Caenorhabditis elegans: one gene and its partner. The protein of the gene in region 1 interacts with the protein of each later gene in a pairwise test. Each region holds a gene or a part of one and is shown in the gene's direction. Other genes may lie near its edges.

What was found.
Region 2: the proteins of T06C10.3 (region 1) and C06A8.6 interact in a two-hybrid assay, tested with the Caenorhabditis elegans proteins (one large-scale study listed by BioGRID).

What each region holds. Positions count from the first base shown.
Region 1 is NC_003282.8:7,865,725-7,876,978, forward strand, and holds T06C10.3 (Tyrosine-protein kinase), read left to right. Parts: upstream 1-5,026; 5' UTR 5,027-5,075; intron 5,076-5,123; 5' UTR 5,124-5,140; coding exon 5,141-5,208; intron 5,209-5,257; coding exon 5,258-5,335; intron 5,336-5,383; coding exon 5,384-5,498; intron 5,499-5,635; coding exon 5,636-5,980; intron 5,981-6,149; coding exon 6,150-6,709; intron 6,710-6,755; coding exon 6,756-6,932; intron 6,933-6,979; coding exon 6,980-7,310; 3' UTR 7,311-7,345; downstream 7,346-11,254. Other genes in the region: flp-10 (FMRF-Like Peptide), read left to right, coding at 3,206-3,278, 3,773-3,903; kin-26 (Tyrosine-protein kinase), read right to left, coding at 10,028-10,117, 10,164-10,286, 10,336-10,512, 10,570-10,989.
Region 2 is NC_003280.10:7,766,965-7,778,218, forward strand, and holds C06A8.6 (U2A'/phosphoprotein 32 family A C-terminal domain-containing protein), read left to right. Parts: upstream 1-5,534; 5' UTR 5,535-5,650; coding exon 5,651-5,737; intron 5,738-5,783; coding exon 5,784-6,302; intron 6,303-6,351; coding exon 6,352-6,534; intron 6,535-6,590; coding exon 6,591-6,749; intron 6,750-6,799; coding exon 6,800-6,901; 3' UTR 6,902-6,950; downstream 6,951-11,254. Other genes in the region: cepr-104.2 (Centrosomal protein CEP104 N-terminal domain-containing protein), read right to left, coding at 98-156, 581-655, 702-818, 2,377-2,483, 3,007-3,089, 4,579-4,762, 4,809-4,900, 4,947-5,053; mthf-1 (putative methylenetetrahydrofolate reductase (NADPH)), read right to left, coding at 7,177-7,330, 7,375-7,529, 7,579-7,992, 8,040-8,777, 8,835-9,207, 9,258-9,332, 10,703-10,785.

The sequences.
Region 1 (11,254 bases):
AGTTAGTCTCATCGTTTTGCAGTGTTTTAAAAATTGTAAAGTCACTCACAGCTCAAGCGATGTTAAGTCAAATTCCAGTGGCATTTTACAGTACATATTTCTTACTTGTCAGGTTTCCGTACGACTCCACAACTTATCTTCCTAGCCCCATCTTGAACAACATTTTGTTATTTAAACCGTTCTAGAGATTTGTCATATTTGTAATGTAAAATTAAAGATTTTTGGTTGCGTCTGAAAATAAGTGACGTACGGATAAAGAGTACAATTTCTGAAAAAATTGTTTGGTGATAATTTCTAATTTCTCTATTGACTCAATTTTCATAACTCACACGAGTCAGATTATGGGTTTTGACTATAAATTGTTGGTGTCCGATGACAACAAAAACAGTCAGAATGATAGAAAAATGAGACATCAAACTCGTAATATGAATCAATTTTGGATCATGGGATTCGATGACTCTATTTTTCAAAAAAAAAAAAACCACTCCGTATATAAACTAGAGTTTATTTAAACACTAATTTCAATGATCACGAAAATGGAAAATATATAACATTCATTCCGAATTTCTGTTCGTTTGCAGGCAGTATATAATGTAATCTTTATTTAACTGGAAACGTTTTAAGTTATCAACCAGTAATGTGGGGGAGATCACAATTGATTTTCAACTCATGAAAATCAAAGTCACATTTTGAAATTGAAACATCAGATGCACGAGAAATTACGTATTTTTTAAACACATTTATGATTGAGCTTCTAACATTCTATGGATGTAATGTTTGATTTTTCGATTCTCAAGTTAGTTTTGGATTGATAATCCCAAAATCTAATAATTATTTTCAAGAAAAAATGGAACAGCTCATTCTGCACCGTACTGTATAGAAAATTAGATTGAAAATACTCAGAGATATTTCTAAAGAATTATGTGAGCGACTAAATATTTATTATTCGTTTACAGTTTCCACCCATATAATCAAACCATTTGTTATCTGGTATGACCAATTGTGCCTAACTAATTTCTCTCAATCGCCAATAAAATTTCTGGAAAGCTCTTCGTACGTGACAACTCAGAATGGAGACAGTTCCCATATTCTGGAAATGCTGAGAATTCTGAGAACTCGGCGTCATTGAATCACACGTATCATCATTTATCGTACACGTATCGTATCATTTATCATCAAACTTGAGCTATGATACCTATTTAACTTTACGTCAGCATCAGTTAGCAGACTAAAATCGAATTATAGTGGATATGAATAGAGGGCGGAAAAGCATGACAACAACGTTCGAATCGAAAAAACAACTTGAACCGTTGAGAAATGTTCAATTAGTGTTGAGTTCAAGAGCTCGGAGATCGAATTATTCCTATGATTATTTAGTTTCTCCTCTACTGTAGGTTTCAGAGCTGTGCTAAATTTATATGCATATAGAGAAAAATTATTTTTCTTCGTTGGAGAAGAAGGATCTTTTTGTATTGCATAGGATAAATAATCGGAAAAATATGCTAATCATAAGACAAAAACTTTTGGAAAAAAACTAGTGTTGCTTCGCGATTCGGCACCTGGGTGAACATCTCCAAAACGTGGGAAATTTTTTGAAAATTACTCGGCTAATGACTAGTGTTTTATCTCGTCTACTCATCATATACAACTTCTTACAAGTGTCTACTTCTCGAATTAAATTCCGATTTTCCCCGATTCGAAGAGCCGCACAGCTCTGATAAGAATCACGAAATTGAACTCGGAAAATCTCGAGATCAGTTCCGCCATATTCGTTTTGTTTCCTACATTCATTTGTTCTCATTTCAAATGTTTATTTTAGTCTTTCTCGTATTTTTCTTTGCTTATTCTGCGTTCCATCATAATATCTATTTTTCTTTCCATCTTTGATACGGAAATAACACATTAGGCTTGTGTTTGATGTGACCCAGTTATCACATCTCTCCCACCCTTGCCACGTCATCATTCATCCACAGAGCATTCGGGTCGAAGGGGGTGGAGCTTGTAAACGAGCAGGGGAGGATGCTCCGCCCGTCGTGTTCTTCTGCAAAGAATTGAAGTCGAATTTTTTATTTTTCATTCCATTTTTATGAGATGGTAGTTGTTGGTACGTACACCAGTTTTATGATCTTGGCCACTCAATTCGGGGTTTTCAAGTTGTTTTAGTGTTAGAGACCTCTGGAATTCAAGAGTACGTCTTGATTTATTTTACATGTAAAGTGGTGTCAATTGTAATTCCTCCAGGACCACTGTCATGACTTCAAGCTAGCTTGCAATTAGAGGTCAAAAGTATATGATACCGTTTGACAACAGGTGCCAATGAATCCACAAATCAAATACACGCGCGAGCCCCATCCTCAAACGAGACGTGATCACATTTAAGCCCGGATTTGCGGCAATCGAACATTTTTGATAATTGCCGAAATTGCCGAGTGCCGGACTGTTTCGGCAATTTTCAAACCTAACTAAAGTTAGAAAATTTTAAAAAAATCAGCCTTGTTCTTTAATAATAGATTAGTCTTCGTTTGAAATAATATTTTGACGCAAAAATTATCAGACTTATATTTTCGGCAATTCAGATTTCCGGAAATTCGCCAAATCGCCGAAATTGCCAAAAATTCGATTGTCGAATGGAAATAGTCGCGCACCTATGATCCAAGCCCTCAAAACCTGTGCATTACCTAAAAATTCCAGTATCCAAATTATTCATCTTTCAAACGAAATCTGAGATTTATATTCAAAATGGATAACCTCCTCTTCAGATCTCACTTTTACTCTCACCTTTCTCTTTTTCCACTTTTCTTATCCAATTAACGTTTATGACCGATAATAAAGGTCAGTTTGTTTTTGAAATGAGTAGAGAGAAGTGTTCAATTATTCCTTTTCCTTGTTAGACATTACCAGAACAATTCAATTTGCCACGTCATCAAAAGTACGTGATCAAAAAAGACCCGAAGATGATGTGATGAAGAAGGAGTGAAAGATGAAAGAAGACCACCAAGAAGCACGCTGAATTTTTGATATTATTAACATTTCTTCAGAGACTAGAGTACCTACTTTCGTTTCAACATTTTCTCATTTTCTTTCCTCTTTCCTCATTCTCATGACCTTACCATGAATTCACCCATCTCACTAATTATACGCCTAAATCTTTTCTTATTCTCGAATCATGGACACTTTTCTAGGCAATCAACTCATACAGCAAAGGATGCAACTCTCCATCGTTTTCGTCTTTTTTGTTCTCTGCTTGGCCGCTGTTTTTGCTGTTCCTATCAGCGATGGTAAGCTTTTTAACTGTATTTCTAGTATACACTCAGTTTTCGGTAAATGAGTCAAAGTAAAATCATGTAAGAATCTGAAATATTGAAAGTTGCGTTTTTTAACCATGAGAAAAATTTACTGGTTTTTTTGGGCATATGAGAATTTTCACTACGAAATTCGTTCACTTGAAAACATTTTGAGTATGCCTTCATAATATCGTTAGTTCTCCTTTACTAAATAACTTCCAATTTCATCAGATTTTTTTCGAAAAATTTTTAACAAGCTGGCTTAGTCATTATAAAAAACCGAGCTATTTTGGGTAAAATACACAGATTTGTTTGTTACAAGTTTTGCAACTGGCAAACAACTGATTTTGTTGTTTTTAGGCGATCTCACAGAATAATATTCTGTAGTTTGAGTTTTCCCAGCGTCAAAGAGAAACAAAATAAAACCGAAAACTGTCAATCAAAGTGGATTGATCAGAGTAAAAACTATCTTAATAATCCATTTCCAGCTTCCCGTGCTCGTCGTCAAGTCGCATCGGAGAAGCGTCAACCAAAGGCACGCTCTGGATACATTCGATTCGGAAAACGAAGAGTCGATCCAAATGCAGAACTTTTGTATCTCGACCAACTTCTCATTTGAATCCGGCATTCCGACATCTCTTTCATCATCTTCTTCATCATCTTCAACAAAATCCACGTCATCATGCGCCCTTTCTTTCTCTGCGTCTCGTCTAGTCTCTCATTCTCATGTTACAGTAATCCAACAATTATTGAACACTGAACAATTAATTCCTTCTTCTCAACCATCCCCACCAGTCGTCAAGTTTTCGTTTCATCAAATTTCTTGACCTGAAAAATATTCGTTTCATATTTCTAATAACGAAGATTTGATCTCGAAGCGCTTTTAACTAAAATGTCACCAAATAAATTATATTCATTTAATTTTACAATTGCTTCTCTTTTTCGTCTTTTATTTCTCTTGAATTCTTCTCCACCCATCGACCCCCGAACACATCCCAATGCTTTTTTGTTTGATTGTCGCATTCCAGTATTTTCAGTTTCAAAATACACAGCGAATAAAACGATTTGTTGTATTTTTATATTTAATATCATAAAAATTATTATGCTCAAGACTTTGAGTTCTCTATTTCAATAGAACATTTCCGAGTTCGTGAATCAGGGTATTGTGAATATGGATGAAAGAATCTGCTTCTATTATGACTTTGTGTTTATTTCTTCCCAGTTATTACATTATTACGTTATTATTAATCACTAAAATCTACTAATTGACGTTTACAACTTTAGTAGAGATCTGTTAAACATTAAAGCTCCAAGAAAACTACTCAATCAGTACAAGAACGAACTAGTCATAATTTTGGCGACCGCCGAAATTACCAACTGAATTTAATTTAAGACTTTTTTATTAAACTGCATATGAAACCCCAAACTTCGTCCTTTATATAATCAAATAAGAGAGACAAATTTTAAGATTTTTTTGTGTAGATTTGTGATTACTACAGTAATTCTTCAGGGGGTTGTGTGTACTCTAAATAAAAAAGGAGGTGGCAGTCCTGACGATTAAAGTAACATTTTTTATAAGGACATTTTGAGCCAAGTGATAAAAAACATCAGCATTTGGTTTTAAAAATCCAAAAACAAAAAAAAACGTGAACCCGAAATGAGAACGCAAAAAAACAACTTGGAAAAAACAAACATCGAAAATCTATAAAATCAATCGATTTTTGATTATTTCGAATTGTTCTCACAACTTCTTTTCCAATTAAATTTGGAAAATTATTTCTATCACAAAAGGTACGCAAGTTTCAAATTTTCAGGCTTCTTAATTCATTTGATTTTCAGAAGGAAAACATTGCAAAATGGGATCAAACGAGCTGTTTACAAGATCCGTGTACATGCAGTCATCGGTCTATTCGAATAATTCAAAGTGAGTCTAGTTTTGGGTATCAGCTGAAATTTCAATCTTTCTTTTTCAGAAGCAGTACATCTAGTTCATCTTCAAATTCCATTCCTACTCAAAGTGCTCCAGCGATGAATGCTGCTTCCTCTCCAAGGTTTGAGATTTTCAGAAAATAAATGAATTTCGATAGTTTGGTTTTTAGCAAAGAGCCAGCAAAGCAAGAAAAAGAGGATGACAAGAAGGAGGTAGAAGAGAAGAAAGAAATTGAGAAGTCGGTAGAGGCGAAGGTGGAGGGAAAAGTGAAGGCAAAGGTCGAGGTAAGAGCTTAAAGCCACTTCACAGTTAATTTGCGATGATCGTTTCCGCAATATGCACATTGTGTTCGGCTCTCGATCCATTGTGCGCACATTGCGAAGTAACTGTTGGAATTACGAATTAACTGTTTTTTTTTCAGTCCACGCAGAATACGGACAATAGTCAAGAATTGAAAGCTCCCGAAGAGAAACCAAAGAAGAAGAAGAAAAAAAAGTCTAATCTCATTGTTTCGGCTTCTGTTGAGAAACTATCAATTGTCCCTGAAAAGGAAGACTTTTCAATCTTGGAGAAAAAGCTTCGCGAGTTCAATTTCTACCACGGCTTTTTGCCTCGAGAGGATCTTCACACAACTTTGCACAATCCAGGCGATTTCCTTCTTCGAGTTTCTGAAGTTGTGGAAGGAGAGCACAAAGTCAATCGGGAAGTGATTCTATCACTCATTCCAGTGTCCACGGTATCAAAAGACGAGGAGGATAGGAAGAAGGTGAGGAGATTGATTCAGGCCTGAATGCTGCCTATATTTCCTACCTGATCTGACTGAGGGCGCCGATGTAGTACTTTATAAGAGGTAACGCGCGCAAATGACTGTAGTAGGTAGGCGTAGGCATGGAAGCGTCATCATAAAATATCGATGTACATTGCCACTATTTCAGGTCCGCAACGTTGTCATAAAACGTGTAACAAACTTATTCTTCTGTGAGATTACTCGAACCTTTGAGTCAATTTCGGATCTTGTCACTTACTACACAAAGAACCCTGGAGGATGTGCATCTGGAACATTTCAATTAAAACATCCAATTCTTCAGCAATCATGGGAATTTATGCATTCGGACGTAACAGTTGGAAAAGTTCTCGGAGAAGGAGCATTCGGAAAAGTTTGCTCTGGAACTTTGAAGCTTAAAGATGGAACGAATGTTGATGTTGCGATTAAAATGACAAAAGTGTCGGCATTCCTCAGCAAAATGAAGATCAAGGAAATGATGAATGAAGCGAGATTTATTCGAAACTTCAATCACAAAAATGTCGTTCGTTTGTATGGAGTTGCGCATCACGAACAGCCGCTCTACATTCTGCTGGAATTGGTGAAAGGTGGATCTTTGCAAGATCATATGAAGAAGGAGAAAGGAGCTGTTTCAATTGTGGAGAAAATCAAGTTTTGTTCTGGTGCAGGTAGAGGTATCGAGTATTTGCATCAAAACAATTGTATTCATCGGTTTGTTGTTTGATTCCGTATAAATTGATAAATGATTGTATTTCAGTGACATCGCTGCTCGAAACTGTCTTCTCCACGAAAAAGAAGTCAAGATTACCGACTTTGGTCTCTCCCGAACTGGACCAGTCTACAAAATGAAGACTGCTTGCAAGCTTCCAGTCAAATGGCTTGCTCCGGAGACTTTGTCAACACTCTCGTTCTCCTTTGCCACTGATACGTACAGGTAACTTATAGTATCAGTACTTCATTCTAAAAAACTTGAAATTTCAGTTGGGGAGTCACTTGCTACGAAGTGTTTGCTGATGGTGTAGAACCCTTCTTTGGAATTCAAAATTCCGTGGTGAAGACCGATATTCTTGCGAACAAGTTCCTGCAGATGCCTCCAACCACCCCTGAGTCTATCAAGAAGTACATGGAAGCTTCGATTTTTGTCGAAGGATCGCGTCGTGCTACAATGACGTCGGCAATTGCAGAGTTCGAAAAGATCAAGTCGGCTCTAGAACGTCCTCCTTCTGATATGTTATCCGTTGGAGCTGGAGCAAAGAAAGTAATGAAACTACTGAAGAGAAATAAGCAAGAGAAGTATTCAAAAGGAGATTGAACTTGGATTTTTTGAAATAAAGGTTTTGAATAGTATCTTATAGTTGTTTCTTGTTGTGTGATCGTTTCCAGATACTTTTCATGGAAGTGCAAGAGTCTGTATAATAGTGGCAGTTAAAAAATATGCACACAATTAAAATTCCATACTCTGGCAAGACGATTTGTAGTTGTTCTTTTTAATGTTAACCTCTTCCTTCTTCATGCAGCTGTTGATTTTGACAAAACATTGCTAATTCTAAAAAAAAAAAACTTCCCACACCGTCTTTCCATTATTGGGGGAGAAACAATTATTCATTGCTATATTTTGTGAATAATACTTCAAAATAAATAATTTATTTAAATAATCAAGAAGTTATGAATGTCCTGCTGAACAAATGCTCTGCTGAACAGAAATGTGTCTAAAAATTATTTGGTATTTACTTGTGTATTATACCCCGCCATTTTAAAAATTAATTAAATTTCCATTCCATGAAGATGTTGTTTCGATGATTTTTGAAGAGAATATAACCAGTGAAACTAAACTTTTGAAAGAACAAAGAACAAAATAATATTTGAAAAAAAAACCGAATACAAATTAATCAAGCATAAAATATTCCTTTTCTAAAACTTTGTTTAAATAAGCATTTTTGCAAATCTGGTTATTAGACTAAATGTGAGTCACTATTCATAACACAATTGTATGTTCGGCTCGTTGTGCACAAATCCTTCACTTTCACTGCTTAAATCTTGATTATCTTGAACGAAAATATTTCCTAATGTAAAAATTATTTTAAATATGTTGCGTCTGCGCCCCTTCCAAAATTGCAATTTATGGGTATTCTGCAAAGTTGATCCTTTTGTTTTTTCTTGTTTCTCACGGAATACGTAACCATTTTTCTTCCTTTTGGATAAAAATCACTGAAGTTTGCTACCTAATGTCAAAATAAATATACATTTTCAAGATGTTTGGTTCAGCTGAAATGAACTTAATAAATACATAGGTGGTGTAGTCGAATTTTTTTATTGGTTTATTAGACTCAAAAGTGTCTGAAAACACCGAATTTAATAATGAAACTTCTTGAAAACTTCTAAAAAAAAGTTATGACGCCTCAAAAATTTATTTTTTTGAAATCGCAGTCAATTTTTGAGTATACAATGTAATTATCTTGCGTTTTCAACTTCGTTTAGGTATTTTAAAGTCGATTGACTGTGAGATTTTTAAATTTTTTAAAACCTATTCTCGCCGTCAATCGACTTTAAAAAATAAAGCTCAGCTGACAAAATAAACGAGTTTAAAAAAACATTCAAAAGTCAAGACAATAAGGTTTTTTTTAAATTTTCATACTTACTTAGGATACTTAGACGATCCGTTCTTCAGGAATTCGTGGTATTCCTGCGGATCACAGCAAACCATTCTTTTCGGTCCTTGGCTATAGTGGACCAGGGGGTGATGACTTCTCCGTCTGCGTCACGAGTGGTGATCTCCTTTCGCAGCGAATCAGCCCATCGCATCGGCGGCCTTCCAACAGGCCTTTTCCATCCATATGGGCGCCATTCTGTCATCAACGTGGTCCATCTTCCGTCTTTCCTTCTCGCAACGTGTCCAGCCCATCCTAGCTTCCTCTTTTTCACGAAATTGAGCGGATCCCTGACTAGAGACATCGTACGAATGTCTTCTCGATGGAGATCTCGCTCTCGTTGTTGGGTGAGTGTTATCCCAACAAGCCGTCTTTCTAGGGAGGCATGTGTGATTCGTACTCGTTCGGATAGAGCTTTGGTGAATGTCCAGGCTTCTGAACCGTAGGTGAGCGCTGGAAGGACAATTGAGTCGAACAGAGTCGCACGAATCTTCTTGTCGGTGATGGAGTCGGTGGTGTTCTTGATTCCATTGAATGCAGCCCAGGCTGCTCTACGTCTTCTGTGGATTTCCGGCATCAAGTTGTTTTGGGCGTTGATTTGACGACCGAGGTAGATGTACTCGTCGACGTCGTCGAGCTGGGTGTTGGGGGAAGGGCTACCGAAGTAGACTTTACTGGGGTCAGCGAATCGGTTTCGCAAGACTTTCGTCTTCCCAGTATTGATCTCGAGACCTACTTCAGAGCATTTTTGTACGAGTTCTTGGAGCATTTTGCTGGCAGTATTCGGATGATTGGCGATGAGCACAATATCGTCATCAAATCTAAGGTTCGTTAGATTTCTGCCATTCACTCTCATTCCAGGGATCGTATCGTAATCCTCAGCTTCTCCTTTCAATTCAATCCAGGAAAGCTTTCGGAAAACGTGTTCGAGGCAAGCGGAGAAAAGATTCGGAGAGAAAAAAGTTATGACGCCTCAAAAATTTATTTTTTTGAAATCGCAGTCAATTTTTGAGTATACAATGTAATCATCTTGCGTTTTCAACTTCGTTTAGGTATTTTAAAGTCGATGGACTGTGAGATTTTTAAATTTTTTAAAACCTATTCTCGCCGTCAATCGACTTTAAAAAATAAAGCTCAGCTGACAAAATAAACGAGTTTAAAAAAACATTCAAAAGTCAAGACAATAAGCTTTTTTTAAATTTTCATAAAATTGTCAAATTCAAAGAACTTATTTAGTCCTAAAATTAATCTAAAATGTTCAACTGTCATAGTAAAATATTTCAAAATTTTTAAATTTCCAGCCAAATGTGGCACTTGCTCAGGTTTTACTGTAAATGATAAAAAACAAAAAAGAGCCAAATACAAGAATTTATTCAATCATTTAGTTCTTCGACATTCCCTTTGGAAGCTTCACATTAGACTTCTTGCGACGAGCAGTTGTTTTCGTAGTTACAGAGTTCATTAGGAGAAGCTGAAATAAAAGTATATATTAGAATTAATAAGATTTTCGAAACAACCTCCTCTGCCTCTTTCTTCGCTATGGCTGTAAAATTGGGGCGAGGAGTTTCAGTGACACGTTGTAGGATTTCAGCAATTTCAGCCATTGATGGACGATCATTCGGATTTTCAGCATTGCATCTCTTTAAAGGAAATCATTGGTTCATTGTATTTCTAACTTTTATTTCTTACCGCCATCATTGTTTGAATCTCAGCCTGAGCATGTGGGTACGGTGGCATACGGTATCCATTTGCAACTTGTGTAGCGACGTCGGCAGGCTTCATTCCCGGATATGGTTCGGCTGCATTATTGAAGATCTCCCAGCAAAGAACACCGTAAGCCCAGACATCGGTCTTTTCAGAACAAATCTTAAAATGTGTTACTTTTTCATCTTGAAAAAATAAAAATGGGATAACTCAACATACCATTGTTTTGATTGTCTCAATAGCCAACCAACGAATAGGTGATTTGGTATTCGGCTTGATCTGATAAACAGTTCCATTTCGAGTCAATCCAAAATCCGAAATCTTAACTTTTCCATCCGTATAGAGACAATTCCTAGCAGCAATATCTCGATGAAGCATAGGTTTTCCATGAATGTATTCAAGTCCCCATGCCGCTTGTAAAATCATCTCAGTTTTTTTATCAACTGATAAATCCTCATTCTTTTTCAAAAAACTATCGAGTGCTCCATTTACTGCTAGTTCCATAACAAGGTACAATGGTTCCTGTAGTACTCCGACGCCGTAGAATTTGATAATATTTTGGTGGCCTAGTTTCCGCATGGTTCGTGCTTCGGCCAAAAAATCCTTTATTTTGGCTTTTCCAGTCTTGTCCAGTTTGACCTGGAAATCACATTTTTATTCCATAAAGTGGACAGTTATTGCATATCTTTAAAAAAATTCGGATTGGGTCATAGCACGGTCAAAACCTTTCAGCTACCGTACCCAGTGGCATTCTCTGTTTTGAGATTGTTTTGATGGTTAGGGTTTTTGTACTTCAAATATAACTTTTATACCAAAAATATCAGTGTTTCAATTTTTGAAAGACCGAAAAAAATATGCGCGTACAGTAGCTGCAAAGTTTCAGCCGTTACAAAACCCGAGCTTG
Region 2 (11,254 bases), on another chromosome or scaffold:
ATAATCAGGTAAAAATGATTAAATATGAATCACACAATCAGAAGAAAAACAAAAGAGAAAATAGTATTCACAATAAAAAATATGAACTGCCGACTACCTGTCAGATAATGGAGGTGATACTGATGATTGTTGTTTTGAGGATGAAGACGATGATACCTGGAAAACAATAAAATTGTATCGAAGACGAAATAAAACTTTTGACACATAATCACTTTTTTATATAATTCTGATTATTTTTTAATTTTCAGAGTGGTTTTTTTTAATATTAGGATGTAATCCAGCTATTAAGCCACAACAATTATTGCCTGGATCATACATAGGCCTGCGTTTTATCAAAGTTTTTTTAAACTTACTATTAATTAAAATTAATCGCTATATTCTGTATATAATGAAATATCTTTGTTTTTACTGTTAACAAATTTGTATGAAAAAAAAAATCAATTGAGTTTTGGATCATCTATGCTTATTTAAATTATTTATCTAAATATGTAAAATTTAATTATGTTTAATTTTGTTTTAGAACATTGCCTGGCAAATATTTAAAGTTCTTATCAGAGTTTTGCAATACAGAATGACTCACCGGAGCAGACTTTTCACAACTTGTATCAATTGCAATAGTTTCAGTTATCGCCGATGTTGTAGGCAACTGTGGATTCTGGAAAACCCATTATAATTTCAGTTCAAATTTTAAATCCACTCACTTTCATAACGGCTTCCCTTTTTCGTAATCTATTCAACATTTCTTTTGAAAATAAAATCTCCTCATCTTCTGAATCTGTGTCGTAAAGTCCAACAATAGTCTTTGTTTCTCGCATTTTCTGAAAAAAAAAGAAAAATGAAATGAAGTGATGTGCAGTTGAGCATAAGAAAATGAGGTTTTCTCAAGAAGAAAAAAAATAAAAAGAAGCTGACAACTAACAACCACTGAATAGAAAATGACTGAAATAAAAAGTCACCAAGGATACCATTACGTCACATGATCAGTCAAATTGGGTCAATTTTCCCATGGTTGCAGTTGCTAAAAAAAACTTTCGAAGTGAGCAATATTCAAATGATCAAAATTAAAACTTCTTAGATTTTAGTTAAACATTTTTATCATCTTATAAAAATAAATCTTTGGAAAAATTCATAAAAATTATGAAATAAACTTCGAAATTCATACAGTGAAACCACGAAATAACTATTTTCATATATTTTCTCGAAAGTTGAGTAGAAGGCAGCAGTTCAACTGACTGAATAGCAAATAAGATGAGAAAAGAGCAAACAATTGAACTGCCAATCTCTATTTATTTCTATTATCTATCATCTGTTCTGAAAAACAAATCCTAGTCTAAAAAGTATATATCAAAGTTATGAAGGGATGAATATTTCCGTAATTATGGATAATCTCAAATGATATGTATAAATATATACGAAACAATCTTTTAAATCTGAATTTGAAGGCTTATAAAATACATTTCTGAAAAAAAAATCAATGGAAAAATATCGGACTCTAAGAGACCTTGTAATCCTTTTGTTGGAAGAAACCTACCACAAGTACACTTATGGCGATTTTATATAAATTGCGGGGGAAAACAGGGGGGAGAGAGAAATAGAAGTAGTGTTTACGTGAGTGTATGGCGTCAGAGAAGGTGTCTCTCTTTCGGTGACTAACCAAATATATATTATATATTTGGTGAAAGTGGGAATACTGAGCAAAAGCTTGTACAAGGAACACCTGCATCTCTAGGTTTTCCCTTTTCCCTTTTTTGTTTTTGTTATATGTTTTCATGTGTAATATGATTGGATTCGTTAGTAGAAAAGAAACAACTCACAGGCCCACTTAATGAGAAATTAGTTGTTAAAAAATTATTCTCCAATTTATCACAGTTTCTCAACCTTTTTTTGAGGTAACAATGCAAAACGTAAGAAATTATAGGCAATATATGTATATGGAGCACGATGAAAAAAGTAATAGGTGAGCAATGGGCCAAAATTCAAAGCTTCTTGGTTTGCACACTTTAATGGCCGGAAATTTTTACGGAAAAAACTAGAAAACTTCAAGAAAAGAATAGAGCAAAAAATAGATGCGATTTTAAAATTAAAAAAATTCTTCATTGAATGAGAATTTCTCAAATTTTTTGTGTTACAACACAATTGCTCACAGACTTCATTGTGGGTTTAATTGAAAATTTGATCGACAATAGGGCTCGAGTCTTTTATATTAAATTGAATAGTTTTTTAGAATACAAATGTCAAAAACACGCACAGCTTTCAACAAAATTGGAACATGCAAACAAGAAATTTCCAACTCGATAGGTGTACAAGTCTGAGGAGACTGGTAACTTTTTACAACAAAATAAAAGAATAAACTATTGAAATATATGGAAAACTGACCGGTTTTGACTTCAACGGCAGCAGAATTCCCTTGTCGAGTTCGATGTAACTCATCTCTGTCTGTTTTGGTTCGTCCTTCAAATGACTGTCAAATGGTAGTATTTCACCTGCAATTAACGGAAAGAAAGGTCATTTGGTAGTGAAATTGAGAGTTGAAACTAATTAGTTTAATAGGTGAAATAAATTTTAAAGAAAACTGCATACTTTAATTTTTAAATTCTTTCTCTTTAAAAGAATTTCTTTCTTAAGAAAACTTTTCAAAATCTTACTTTTTCTTCTTTCGTTTTCAGATTCTTTCAAATGGTCCAAAAGCTCAAAAACTCCAATGAATTTCCTGTTCTCCGACTCCATTTTAGAAACAATTTTTGCTTTTACAGAGTAAAAAAATGAAAGAAAACGGGAAAAAATTGACATTGGATGATGGATTTTTGAATGTTTTGATGGCAAAAAAATAACAAAAAAGGTGAAAAGAGAAACAAATATTCCGGGGCTTTATGTGATGATACCGAACTTTGACTTCAAATTTCTCATGAACAATGGAGTTTTTTTATTTTAAAAATTTCATTATGCAAAGTCAATGACTATCGAATTGGCTATATATTTTAAATGAAACAAATAGTATAAACTGACCTGCTCCACTGATAATAACAGAAAGAATGGAGACTTGACGATGATGATTGACGTCTGAATCTGAGAATCCGTGCACTGATATTCTGAAATTTTATGAATACATAATCATTGTAGATTTCGAAAAAAAAGTACAAATGAAGTTCTCATTTTGCATTGGAATTCGAAGGCAACATTCTGGCAACAACTTGCCAATTTATTAAGTTCTTTCAAATATGTTTATGCCAAGAAGTTCCTCCAAATTCCGAGAAAAAATATATCAGAAGAATTCGTTTATTCAGTAATCCTATAAATTACTATTCGCGTTGTTATAAATAGTTAAAGTTGAAAAACTACCTCAGAGCAGTTAAAAAATTTCCAACGAAAATTGAAAGCTATTTGTAAGCAACACGGTTTTTGGAAAAAAATTCCCACTCACAAAAATGCAATCTAATATAAAACGGAAAAGGTATAATCGAGCGGAAGTGGGGGTCAAATTGAAATTCATGGAAAATTGGAATAAGAGAAGCAGAGTGTATTGAAAACGAGAGTCTTTTTTGACATTGAAGTCATGTGCATTGAGCTCGTTTTAGCGGATTTCAGAAAAAAAAACTGCTAGACTTGCTCATTTCATCGTGTAATAATTTTTGAGAAAGGGTTCAACATAAAGTGTATTTAATTTACGAAATTTTGAACAAGTTCATAATGAGCTGTAATTTTGGATAAAATGTTTTTTAAAAGATGCATTAAACTAGATATCTTCGATGTTTGAAGGTTGATAATATAAGTCAAAAAATATGCTTCAATTTTCTTCGAAAAAGAACGAGAAGGGAAAGAAAACAAAAAAATGAGCGAATCGAAGAAAATTGGCTGAAAGAAATAATTGTTACGTCTGAAAAATGAAAAATATGGGAAACAGCATGCTTTTGACACAGATCTGTGGCATTTATGGGTTGAATAAAAAAGATTTGGCAAGACGGGTAATGTCTCAATTTTTGTTTTACGTGTTACCAATAGTGAGCATTTCTCAATGGCAACCGAACTTTAAAATATATTTTACATTTTCGTGCAAAAAGGATATAATGATACAAAAGCCAATAAACTTTGAATGTATATAGTAATAGTATCTTCTAGAATCTTCCATCCATAATGACAATTCTCATAGATACACGCCTCTTGTAGACGTGTAGTCTTGACTACAAACTATTGTTTATTGTGCTCGACCGTCCGAACCAAACAGTTTTGGCACATGAACACAAACCACGACTTGTTTTTTGTCTATGTTCTATTTCTCCGTTTCCTAGTACCTACCGACACTTACTCTTAGTAAAATCGAACGAAAAAAAAATGACGAGAAAAGATGTAAGTAAACAGAAAAAGAAAACGACGTGGACATTTGGGTGCCAACAGCCGTTTTCAAAAAGAGTGGAAGCCTAGTGGTGGAACCCATTATTTGCTTTTGAATTGACGATTTGACAACAATTTTGTGCAGATATATTTGAAATGATGATGATGCTTTCAGAGATTCTGTTCAATGTATAAAAAGTTATACTTGCGGATTTTTAATGTGAGCTCTTTCTTCTTTTTTAGACAAACCTCACAAATTTAGCTGGTGAATTGAAGAAAACAGTTGCCTTCGGATGCTTCTGACCGTATTCTACATGAAAATCGTCTCTGAATGAAAGCTCTTGACGAACTGAATAATCGGCATTGTAAGATTTTCCACGAGAGTTTCGAAAATGATTTGATGGAATTCCAAGTGAAACTGTCAAGGATGATGCTGAAATTATTTTATTGAATGAACGTAGATTCGATTCTAAAACTACGTGGATAATCTTTATGAACAATTAGCTTAACACTGCTGACGAGACTTTCTTCTTCGAGCTCTAATACCATTGATTGTGGAAACGAATGGTTTCTGAAATATTTTTATAATAAAACTTTCGAATTTAAAAAGCAAGAACTTTTCAGTTATCCAATTGACATAAAATGTTTCAGCTTCTTCATCCGAGTCAGCATCTTCCAAAACATCTTGGGAAGTTGTAGAGATTATTGAAAATGGAAGAGGCATGTAAAGTGTTGAATATTGAGTTTTTGAAGAAAAAAAGGATAAGTGGCAATAGAAGATGTGAATTATTCAATATTTAAAACAAAAGTCGTAGAAACAAGGAAAAAACAGCAAGTATATGGAAACGGTTGGTGATGTTTAAAAATTTTCTAGGTGTACTCTGATATCTAGTTATTAAAATTGTCTACTGTTACAGTATCCTTCATGTGCAGTTGGATCTTTAAAAAATTATATTTTAGGAGTAAGTTTCGCAGGGATGGTCGAATTTGAACTTCAGCCAGTTGGAAGTAGACTCGAAAGGCACCGGATGGTACCGAATATGATATTTTAATCAGTATATCTAATCAGTATAAGATGTATATCTAGAGTTCAATCAAACTGCTCTGTAAAGCCTAATTCATTTAGATATGTAGAAGAACTGTCTACAAAGTAATCTGTAAAAACGTACAGAACTATTTAATTGATATATTGAAATTTTATTTCACGTAACCTCTTCGTTTGTGTAAATTTCATCATAACGTGTTTCTTCCTCTTTTTCCAAATTAACAACTCTTCGCTAATCATTCCCTTGTTCTACGAGATCGTTGGAAGGTTCTAGCTATGAACGTCACCAGTGTCACTTCAGAGGATGGTGTTAAAGAATTCGAAAAGATTGTTGTGGAACCTGAAGATATCGAATATGTTGAGGTAAACCTTTGTTATTTTCGTTCTTCCCGAGAACCTCATATTACAGATTCCGGCCGATGCCAAAAACGTTGACTTGACGCGTCACCGTATCAAAGAAATCGGTGATTATTCGTGGCTCACTCACGTCGAACACTTCTCGTTTCGTTGGAATCTGATCAAAAAGATTGAAAATCTGGATTGTTTGACAACGTTGACTCATCTCGAGTTTTACGATAATCAAATTACAAAAGTTGAAAACTTGGATAGCCTCGTCAATTTGGAGTCACTCGACCTGTCATTCAATCGTATCACCAAAATTGAAAATTTGGAGAAGTTGACAAAACTGAAGACTCTCTTTTTTGTTCATAACAAAATCACTAAAATCGAGGGTTTGGATACGTTGACTGAGCTGGAATATCTCGAATTGGGTGACAATAGAATTGCGAAAATCGAGAATCTCGACAACAATCTGAAACTCGATAGATTGTTCCTTGGCGCTAATCAGATTCGTCTTATTGAAAATGTTGATCATTTGAAGAAGCTCACAGTTCTCAGTCTTCCAGCCAATGCGATTACTGTAGTTGATGTATAGTTATTTCTTCTTTCTAAATACCACTTATAAAACAAAATTTCAGAACATTTCGGGACTTCACAACTTGAAAGAGATTTATCTGGCTCAAAATGGCATCAAGTACGTTTGTGGAATCGATGAGCATCTTCCTCTTGAAATTCTGGATTTCAATCAGAATCGTCTTGAGAAGGTCGAGAATATCCATCAATTGAAGACACTTACAGACTTTTGGGCAAGAGGAAATAAGGTAATATAGATCATTTGATTACATTCCATAACTAATCAATTCTTTGTTAATTTTAGTTGGATAACTGGAGCATTATGGATGAATTGGTTGAACTTCCACAACTCAATAGTGTTTACCTCGATTTCAATCCAATTGCATCAGTGGATACTTATCGTGGAAAGGTTATTCATCTCTTGCAACAAATTACTCGTCTTGATGGAACTCAGTGCCGTGAGGTAATTTAAAACTTAATTAAATTAATCTTCAATTTGTTTTTTAATTTCAGCATTCGATGCTCCGTCCACCAAAAGAAGAGAAGAATGAGACAGAGCTTTCGCGTGTTGTACTTGATAATCCGTCTGATGATCATCCCACTGAGTCCGTCTAATACTTGAACTTTAGCATTTATTCAACTAGATGAAGATTTCTTGATTATTGATATTTTATTAAACAAGGAAGCCGGAAATAAATAAAATAAAAGAGGGAGCGATTTTGAATCGGGGGTTGTTGAAGCTAAAACTTAATAGGGTAATACTGGTAATAGAGAATAAGGGGAAGTGTCCCAACCAATGGTGTATTTCATCAACGGAAGTGAATATCGTGGTGGAAAATTGAATGAATTGAAATCAGACGTGTCAAAAAGTCAAATTAGTTTGATGATTTTTACTTTTTCAGCTCGTCGAGGGCCTTTTGAAGTACGTCGAAAAGAACTGATGGCTTCTGGAAGTCGTTGTCGACGAGAGTAACCAAACGGAACTCATCATGAACAGCCTTGATGACTCCATATGATTTAGATTCTTTTGGATAAAAATCTCCCCTAAAATTAAACAATTAGACAGAACGAGTGATTAGATACCTTACCATTGGGCCATCCACATTTGGTAAGCTTCATCTCTCCATGCGCGGAAAGAGAGTGGATCGACGACTGTTGGCTGGGCAATCTCAGATCCTGGGAATACTCCCCAAGTAACTGCAATCGGAGTGGTTTCTTCGCTGTTGGTCTTGTCGAAGGTACTCTGAAGAAGAATTTATTTTATGGTTTTTAAAATTACTTTTTAAACATACATCCTTATTGATGGCATGGTAGTTAACTCTGACTGGGAATTCTCTCTCGATGATTTGAATGAGCTTGTCGGACAACTCCGCGGTCATGAAGCATTCGAGGTATGCCTTTTGGTAGCAGTAACCTCCTGGTTTTCCCCACCCAACAAGTGGATCAGTGGATGGAGCTCCATTAACTGATGGCTGACTGTTGACGGTCAGAATTCCATTCTCATTACACCAAACAAGTTGTTCACTGATCAATGAAGTTTCTGGCTGAACACCAGTTTCAGCTTCTGTCCATGGAAGTACAGTAACCTTGACGCCATCGGCGTTTGGAGCTTGAGTAATGTAGTTGATGAACACGCGCTTGACGTCTTCAAAACTCTCGATGTTGGCTCCGAACATAGCTAGACGGTCATCGGCGTTTCGAACAGTCTGAAATTTTATCTGTGAGAAAGTTCTAACACAATCTTTGAACGAACCGTCAAATTAGACAAGTAGTAGCTGCTGACATCTCCAAATGCTGGCGATGAACTGTTTCCCCATCTTCCGTTAGGGAATTGATCCCAATCACGAGTTCTGGTGATGTAACTGCGTGGGCGGAAACTCCAGTAAATTGGACGAACACTTTCCAGACATCTGATAGGATGTTGCGAACGATTTTTCCATGGGAAAACACGATCACCCTCGAGTTTCCAGAGACCAAGAGATTTGAGAATTTCACGAATACTTCCTTCACGATTCATAGTGTATAGATGGATGGAAGGGGCAGTTCCATTGTCAAGAAGACGGCGGCACATTTCAATGCAACGCTCTGTTCCGTACTTTTGAACAGCATCATCATCGTGCTTGATTGGTTCGAGATCATCAAGAATATGTTGTGGAATCTCAAGTTGTGAGAGTTTGGCAATACGTTTGATAGACTCATAACCCATAATTGGCATGATTCCCGGAATAATTGGCTGAGTGATTCCAATTTCACGGCAGTCGCGCACAAACTTTTCGAAAGTTTCAGCCTCAAAGAATAATTGAGTAATGACGAAGTTTGCTCCAGCATCACATTTTGCCTTCAAGTACATAAGATCAGCTTTGTAAGACGGAGCTTGTGGATGTCCAAGAGGATATCCTGCGCAACCAATTGAGAAGTAGTTTCCATATTCTTCGCGGATCCAGCGGATCATATCAAGTGCACGGAATTGATGGGTATCTTCGAGCTCAGTCTAAAATTGAAAAATATTATTTAATTTTTTGACAATCTTGTTTCATGATTAACTTACGCCCGGTGGGAGATCTCCTCTCAAAGCAAGAATACTTCTCAATCCCATTGCCTTGGCTTGCTCGAGATGTTTCAAAGTATCAGCTTTATTGTATTGAACACAAGTCATATGCAACATAGTGTCGACTCCACAATAATCAAGCATTGAAGCAGCAATCGAAGACGATGAAGTCACTTTATCGACGTTAGCTGGATCACTTCCCATATGCCATGTCATATCGACAAAGACGGATCCACCTTCGGAAAGACGTTCAACACGCTCTAAGAAGTTTGGAACTCCATTGACAAATCGAGGTGGGAAGAATTCAAGAGAGAAGAATTGTTGTTTCTCATCGATAAGACGTTCAATTCTCTCGTGAAGAAGTTCATAATGCCTGAAATATAAATTTGTTTAGTAATAGCTTTATATCTGATCAAAACTTACTTTGGTGACCAGCTCTTTCCAGATTCCAGAGTTATCTTCTCCTCGACAACCGCATTCTCATCGGTCTCAACACCACTGAAATTCAAAATATTATATTATTCGATCAAAAAACCTGAATCAACAACCCACTTTTTACTTAAAACGGCCATTTCAACTAGAGTCTCCGAGGAAACAAAATTTGTTAGCGACAAATGAAGAAATGTGGCAAACAGGATTCTAAGGGCGGAGTGTTATATATCTTCTCCAGAATCATCATGTGATTCGATATGAATCTCGGGAGAGATCTAGGAACGTAACAATTATGATTTGGACAACTTGTTCTTTGATACTGACACAGTAGGAAAGTACTTTTTTTCAAATTTTTCAGAACTTCGGAAAACAAAAAGCTGATGTTGAACTAATACAGTGCTACATCGAAATAATAATTCACTATCATCAATGATATATTAGCTTTTTCTTGTTTGAAATTTCGGATCGAATAAATTATTTCCCTGTATTTTTCCTTGGAAATTTCTTGCTTGGTGTCTTTTGTTCCACTTAATAGAGAGATACTGATCAAATTGTCTCCTAGAAGGCAAGAAAACACGGTTAGATTTAAATTTGATAGATCAGTATTCGATCTTTTCCGAGTGCAGAGAGAATAATGTGTCGCAGAGGACTAACAAACTTTTTTCTGATAATAGACACGTTTTGTACTCTGCCGTGTTCACCTTCATTGATAAGATATTGTGGGGTGATAAGAGATGAAATCATTAGCAACGATAAGTAATTACTATGTTTCTAAAAGTCAATTAGCTCATTTTTGAAAAAAATACTATTTGTGATTCAAAAGGTTGCAACTTGCAAATATTTTGGACAATTCTAGTATATAAATGCACCATGTTTCTCCGACATTTTTCGTTAAAAATTAGTTTTAAAATATAGGAAATCAATCGATTTAGCTGTAAATATAGTTTACTTCGGATGATAATTTTGAAAAAGTGCTTAAAAATTACTTGGAAGTTGCAAATTGCCGATTGTCGAATTATCAAGCTTTGTTTTTCGGTAATTGGCAACTTTCAGGTCATTTTCTGCATTTTCTCATATGTTTCTTTTTTTTTAACTAAACATTCTAACTTTAGCCATAATCAGCGTGCTTTTTTTTTGAAAATTTCAAGTTCTTGAAATTGAACAGAAATTGTATTTTTTTTTTGAAAGGTTTTCACTCTCAACAATATAAAAATGCCCAAATCACGTGAATATCAATGGTATCCAACAGTTGACACTGATAAGAGATCAGTTTGTGATCGCAGTGGGACAAATGGGTGGTAGACATGTCTTCTGATAAGATAGAGGTCAAGTAGGTAGAATTGGTAGAAAGGAGGCATATTTCAGTGCTTTTTTTAAAAGCATTTTGAGACATAAAAAGATGCTCTAAGTTTAGAAGATTAATATAAAGAACCTACCAATATGGCATTGTGGACAGAGAATCGATCTTCTTAATGGTTCCATGAGATTCAATAACTTTAGTTTCTCCAGTATTCGTCATTTTCCTTGGTTCGTTTTAACCGTAGTTATTCTCTGTCGGGAACCACGAATCCGTTGTTTGATGAGATTCACCGACTGAAATTTGCTCGTATTAAGTCCGATTCTTTTATACAATCAGAGAAAAGGGCGGAGCGTTAAGGTGGCAAACGGTTGGTAAATTGGAAAAAAGAGAAGTCATAGAACTATCAATGTCCGCTAAATGTTCTTAATCTAAGCAAAAATGACAAGAAAATGAGAAACAAACGTGCTTCTGGCATAAAACCACTTGTTTTGTTCAATATTTATATAGAAGGAACATAGCATGCTGGGTCTCTCGTTCTCTCACTAAAGCGTTCGTCGTGGCACTCAGTGCACTTTTGCATACATGAAGCAATACACATTCTCAGCGGGGCGCCGATTCCTTCATAGAAATCGGATTCTTACAAAAGACAAAAAAGATAAATCGAAACATTTTTTGAAAATAGCGGTAT